Saccharomyces cerevisiae S288C: one gene and its partner. The gene in region 1 interacts genetically with each later gene. Each region holds a gene or a part of one and is shown on either strand. Other genes may lie near its edges.

Region 1 (3,357 bases):
CTTTCGGAAGATGTAGAGTGGTCCGGTATATTAATGCTTGAACTAGGAAAAACTATGGATGGGGCGGCTCTTCATTCATGACAGTATCTGGAATTGAAATTGTGAATAAGTAAATCTTCAATTTCATTATCTGATTCTTCTTGAATTGCAGGGCCTGTACGATACCTTAAATTCTGATTCACACTCGGATTCGATAACGTAGTTTGGCCTTGCTCTTGCCAAATGTTAGATGAAGACGAAGAGACTGGAGAATAGGCATTAATGTTGGAGTTATTATAGCTATAGTTGATGTACGAAGAAGAAGACGAAGGGGGAGAAAAGAATTCAGTATATAGGGCCTCTGGACTTTTCTGAGGCGAATACATTAGGTATTGCGAGGAAAAGTAGTTTGCATTCGAAGCAGAGTGAGAGAATTCCGTTTGTGCAGACAGAGGAGGAGACGTGTAGGTAGAGAAAGAAGCTGATCTAGCATGGGATAAGTAGTTGTTTTGTGAAGGGGGAGTGATGTCAATAGGTTCTTTACTGTTCATCTTGAACCCATTTGGCAGCACATGAGCATTAACACACTTGTTACCGAATTTACAGTTACCCTTTGCGAAATACTTGCAAGGTAAATTATTCGCAGAACTGATAATATCTGGGGAATGGGAAAAGGGACAAGACGAGCCAGCTTGGCAATTGCCCATCTTAAAAAATTTGCATGGCACGTGTGAATAGTCCTTCTGCTGTTGAGAATTGTTCTTCGTTATCAGTAAATGTTCCATGATAATTTTTTGTTGACGTGATGAGAAAGGCAGTTGATTGCCGACAGTACAATTTTTTGACAAATTTACATTTGCATTGCTGTCATTGAAAGACCTTGGAATATTCTGGAAATCCTGAATTTGCGATGCAAGCATTTCGTTTGCTGATTGGGAGTTTCTTCTTGCGTTACCGCCCGGATGATTTGATACAGACATATTCTCAAAAGCATCCATTTTGTTTTAGCAAATAATAGTTTTAAGATTTATAATAATAATAATAATAGTAATAGTAATAGTAGTAGTTATGATAGTGTTAGATAATAAAATCGAGATTTTGTAGAAACAAGGGGAAGCCGAAAAAGAAGAAATTATAATTACTCTAATATGACGGCACAAGAGAAAAGGGAAAAGAGTAACTGCTAAGAGATTCTGTTTTTATAATGCCCGGAGTAAAAGAAGCTTTGAGATTAAAAGATCACCACCATATTTTGTAATAATTTACTTTAGATTGAGATATAGGGGAAGAACTACACGAAGCACCGAAATCCAAAACTTAAAAATTACAAGATAAGCACGAAAATACATAATACAAATAAAAAATGATAAAGGCAGAATTATACTGTGGTACCTTGAAGATAAGAATACCGTACCACAACATGTTAATCTCCACATCATTTTATTACTAGCACTGCCACACCGTGCACCCCATACAGGATGTTGTCTGCACCTTTTCTTCCTATCATCTTTTTTATCCCACATCATACTGTGGCGGGCCTGTAGTAGAGCTCCCTTTCACCTTGGCGTTTTAAGGGGCGGGGCAAGAGTGGCGGGGAATTCCGCCGTTCCGAATTGAAAAAAAAGACACTTTGTACGGGCCATTACCCTGTGAAGTTCTTTTTTTTCTCTTATTTTCATCAGAGAGAATGAATCAACTGCGATGAAAGGAAAGAACACCACATTTATTACGAGGCAGAAGAGGTGACCAAAAAACCGCAGTAAAGTATGAGCGGATACACGGGAAATAATTATAGCAGATACTCATCCACTCCTCCGAGACAAAGGGGGGGTTATCACCATGCGAGACGAAGTAGAGGTGGAGCAGGCGGATCGTATTACAGAGGCGGTAATGCGTCTTATGGCGCGAGATACAACAGTGACTATGAGCAGCCGCCCCAAGAGGGAGACTTGAGACAAACCGGAGCATACTATCGAAACGGATACACAGATACAAGGCCGTACTATTCAGCTAATAGCAGGCATTACCAAGCACAACCATCCCCCAGGTACAACAATGGTACAAATTCGTACCACCTACCGCAACGTGGCAATAGTCAAGATACGAACGGCAGGACCACGAGCGCCTCGCAAGAAGATAATGACGAAAAAAGAGTCAAGTCCAGATACCGGAACATGCAGGCAGATCATCCACGCCAACAACCGATGAGCGTTGGCAGCACCAGCAGCAGAAATGGTAGTAGTGGGAACAGCAGCACTAGCAGCACCAGCAACGGGCTTCCGCCACCACCTTCAGTATCGTCTATAACCAACAATAGATCATATCACAGCAGTGCTTATCCATATTCCAGCAGCCATACTTACAATAATTACCACCACCGTGAGACACCACCGCCTCCCCCATCGAATGGCTATTATGCAAAGGGTTACCCAGTACACGTACCAGAAAATAGAAGTAACAGCGACGGCTCTAGCAGCAGCGTCGTCAAGAAGAAAAGAATACTAGATATGAAAGATTCCCCCTTTATTTACTTGACAGATTTTGATAAAAATGTGAAAAAGACAAACAACACCGAAAGTGAATGTGAAAAGGCGAGGGAAGTTTTCAAAGAGAGCGATTCCATCGATTCCGCTTTGGAAGAACTAAACCTAAAAATCAATTCTAATGAGCTAGAATTGCGGCTCCTAAATAACCAGTGCGACAAGCATGCATTAAATATTCAACTGACCCAAGAAAAGCTGGACTCATTGTTATTAATGCAGTAGGGTATACCGTACCTATAAATAGATAAACTACGTAAACGCAAGCGGCGGAAATTGAAAAAGGAAATTATAAGGAAGTGACTAGCGTTTTGATTTCATGAATCGAGAAAAGGTACTGCTAGGTTAAGCCCGATTAGGTAAAGAGCCAGGAAAGCGACTAGGAAAGCGACTACGAAAAAAGAAAAAACTGCGAAACTGTGAAAGTGCGTGTCAGCCATCTGTCTTTGGAATCGATTATCTATTTGCTTTGATCCCCTTTATGAAGAACGCAGCATTGTGTGAGGCTCTTCCTCTGCTCGCCACGTGCTCCCACGAAATCCCACCCACACCACACACGGTCTGTTTCGTCTTCCCCCCCGCATTATTACTATCCCCGAGCAAACTCACACTTTTGAATTCGCGTCGCGTCGCGTCGCGCTGCGTCATTATCATTGACCCACGCTTGCTGCGTCTCTTCTCTTGCTCCCGGCCACAACAACTCCCCCGGGATAAAAACCAATCTTTTGCTAAGCCATCTTTTTCTTTTTTTTTCTTTCTTCTTACCTCGTTATTATCGCCTTTCTAAACTTCCTTGGCCAAGCCTTTCAGCGGTGCTTTTTTGTTCTCACGTCCACTG
Region 2 (3,604 bases), on another chromosome or scaffold:
AGTAGAATAAAAATTCACCTGGATTATCTTCAGGCAAATATACGGGTTTGATAAATGCAGCAAAATCTGTCAATATACACCAATTCCAACTTGTTACTAGGATATTTTCTGTCTTTATATCACCATGGACAATATTCAGATTATGAATGTCCTTTAATGCATTTAACAACTGGAAAGCAATGAATTTCAGTTCAATGTCTTGTAAGTAAGGTCTCAAACTCAATCTGTCATATAAATTATTTTTTAAGTGCTGCCGTATCATGTAGCCGGCTCTATTTGTCTCGATCAATTTACTGTAGTTTAAAACGTGCGGTAGTTGTCCCAACTTAAACGATTGAGCCCTTATACGTTGGAGAAAAGGTCGTAAGCTATATTGGTCTTTTGGTTTAATAAACACTTTGATAACAATTTCGCCGTTAGGGTCCAGTGCCTTGCATGTTTTTAAGAATCTTGATGAGTTTAACTGTGAAACGTAGTGTACTTCCTCTAAGACATCGATATATGAAAAAATGGCTATGGAAGGTGATGCTTGGACCACTAGTGATAATTGTGCCCCCATTATACTGTATGCCTTCCTTTTTGATAACCTTACAGCTTTTGTATTTCTCCAATTCAACTTGTCTGCTTAAGTATCTTACTTAAGATATATCTGTTTTTCATTTTTATGATGTTGAAAAATAAGGGAAATTTACCTTGTTTTCTACCGAAGATAAAATATAACGCAGACTGCACAGAGAAACTTTTGAAAGAAGATAGATTTATATATTTTATAATACCGGCTATATGTGTATAGAAGTTAGATTTCTGAACAGTACTCTTGGCTCAAGTTTTCCAATGGTACTGTCTCGTGGAAACCACAACGCTCGGTTAAAAGCTTTAGATTGTCCTCAGAAATTTTGGCGACCTTCTCATTATATAAACCACAGTATTCAAGAGCATCCTTTGGTTTGATGGTCTTTCTACCGTCCTTAAGGACGTATTTGGTCAATGATAATGAGCATAAGACGGTGCCCTTTTTAATTGTGAATCTACTCATGACGTAAATCCATTTCTCATCCCAACAGATAATCCTTGATGAAACCGAGTACTTTTGAAAAGGCTTGATTTCCTTCAAGAAATTAGTGAAAACGTTCGCAACTGGAATATATGGATAATGCTTGGAATTCAGCATCAATTTTTGAAAAATCTTGCACATGAGATTACCTCTTGAAATGTCCAATTCCGCAAAATAGGTGCTATTGCTCTTATGAAAGTAGAAGTCACATTCGAATGGAGAGGCATAGGTATCTAGGCTGGTGTACGAGAAACAGCCATATTCATTTTTCTCAAGTTTCTTAATATTCTCGGTTTCAAACCCTGTAAACATAGGCAAGAACAAGTTTTGAATAACATAATAATAAAACCTAACAAAATATGCCCCAGGAAGCGACTTATATGAAGAGAGCAAGTAAGCAGCAAAGAGCCACCTAAAAATAGTGCAAACACCCATTATTCTATTATTTTATTTTGTTGTAGATATTGGAAAGCACTAGTTACTCGAGAAACCTTTTGGAAGTCTTGAAATTAGAAGCAATTGTTTTACAAAATTACTAAAAAGCCTTTAAGCGGATAATTATAATGTTCACTTTATAACGGCGTTATTCGAAGATCATTATTGTCTCCTATACCCAAGAGGACCGAAGCCGGGTAGCGAACTTTGTTCTGGTAAAACAATCGCTTTCAAATAGAAGAAACGTTGCTTGATGACAGCATCTCCTGCAAAAAAGAGGTTGAGAAACAAATATCTCAGCTGTTGCTTCTTGTTGATCGAGATGACTATTAGGAGCAGTATGAAAAACAACGCAGAATTGGAAAGCAAGAGTGTGTTAGCTAATGAATCGAATATAATTAGCACATTTACTAGAAGGATAATAAAGGAAAAAAGCGGTAACTATCAGGTACTGAAAAGATCCCTTGATGGAAAACTAATCTATCCTGAGGCCACTGGCATATCCTCTAACAGAGGTAACAAACTTTTGCAGAGAAGCGAAGTAGTAACAAGAAGAGACTTGAACAATTCTAAGCCAATGATTGAGCAAACTGTGTTCTATAACGGTTCGGAGCATCGCCTTCTGCAAACAAATATTGTCACTGATAGTAGACGCAAAAGAATAAAATTCACACCTGACATCAACGTCGAGCCTGTTTTAGTCGGTGATGAAAACGACATCGATGGTAGTGAGAAGGAAGACGAAAATATCACTGATGAGTATTACGGCGAAGAAGACGATGACGACCTATCAAAACTAGTGAATGTAAAGGAGATTTTGACTCCCATTCTTTCCCTAGGGGATATAATAAATCATAAAACTATCTCAAGGACATTTTCAAGCCCAATTTTGAAAAATTTAGCCTTGCAAATAATTCTAATGATTGAAAAAGAACAGATGTCAGTTGTTAGATATTCCCAGTTTTTGGAGGTTTTTTTAGGAGATCATCCTGAACCAATTTATGAATCTAACTTGAACCTACCATCTTATAATCACAATTTGACCCTTCCAGAGGATAGAGGGGCAAGCGACGAGGATGACATTAACAACAAAAACAATATCAACGAGGTTAACTCGAATAGTTTGTCTACTGAAGCTGGTCATATCAATAATGGCATGGAAGAATTTGGAGAGGAAGATCCTTTTTTTGCATTGCCAAGGTTGGAACAATCTAATGCGCTGTTATCGTTGCTGCCATCTTCTTCCGGTTCTGCTTCTATATCAACATTAACAGCGGCCGAACAACAACAGTTAAATGAGGAAATTGAGTCTGCCCGACAGCTGTCGCAGATTGCACTACAGAGGAATAAAGAATTCATAAGAAACTTACAAAAAATCAGAAAGTCTGTAATAAAAGCCAATAGAATAAGAGGTAGGATTTTAAATTGGAGTCGGGAATATTTGGGTATATCTGACGATGATATTACTATCCCGGTGGCTCTACGTGTTGTGAAGAGAGGTCTGATCAGTGCTACAACAAATAAGACAACAAATTTTGAGGAAGAAATTGAAAATACCATGGAAGACGGTGTTGTAGACGATAATGAACCTGATGAAGAAGCTAATAGAGCCTAAATTGACAAAACAAAAAATTTCGGAAATAAAATCAAGGCATATGTATTATTTAGCACTATTTAGTAATAATAACAGTATTTTAGGATGGGTTCTTTTTTTTTTTTTGTTTCACCAACCGTTTGAAGTGTAATCAATGACTTTTACGAAGTTCGGGTCTGTTTCATCATCTGTCTTATTTCTATTCTCGTTAAAGATGGGGGTAACACAGTATTTGACAGTGTCATCAAATAATTCATCAATGAGGTTCTTCAAATCTTTCCCAGTTTGTTTGAAGTCTGGGAAAGCGTTGATCTCTAGTAATTTAACTTCGTAATTCGAATCAATCAAAAAGTCTACGCCATATGTTTCAAATGCGTTTGGTAACGGTTGGAAGTTTAATCTATTTACATTTACAGCAGCTAAGAAAACGTCGTTCGTTATGCTATGGATTTGCTCCTTAATATTGGACTTTCTCTCATTTGGAATTTCCTCTATGGAGTCAAACTCCAAAACAGAAGAAT

What was found. Genes that interact genetically often act in the same process or in processes that back each other up.
Region 2: mutations in LGE1 (region 1) and RXT2 together harm fitness more than expected from each alone (negative genetic interaction), as found in Saccharomyces cerevisiae (6 studies listed by BioGRID, with this or other methods).

Annotation. Positions count from the first base shown.
Region 1 is NC_001148.4:453,379-456,735, reverse strand, and holds LGE1 (Lge1p), read left to right. Parts: upstream 1-1,745; coding exon 1,746-2,744; downstream 2,745-3,357. Other genes in the region: LEE1 (Lee1p), read right to left, coding at 72-977; LCL1 (Lcl1p), read left to right, coding at 3,001-3,306. UniProt on the Saccharomyces cerevisiae protein: Required to activate transcription of PDR3, a gene involved in retrograde regulation of multidrug resistance, a phenomenon that takes place in cells that have lost their mitochondrial genome. Also required for ubiquitination of histone H2B to form H2BK123ub1.
Region 2 is NC_001134.8:433,906-437,509, reverse strand, and holds RXT2 (Rxt2p), read left to right. Parts: upstream 1-1,811; coding exon 1,812-3,104; downstream 3,105-3,604. Other genes in the region: ubiquitin-binding serine/threonine protein kinase VPS15, read right to left, coding at 1-559; YBR096W (uncharacterized protein), read right to left, coding at 797-1,489; PBY1 (putative tubulin tyrosine ligase), read right to left, coding at 3,213-3,604. UniProt on the Saccharomyces cerevisiae protein: Component of the RPD3C(L) histone deacetylase complex (HDAC) responsible for the deacetylation of lysine residues on the N-terminal part of the core histones (H2A, H2B, H3 and H4).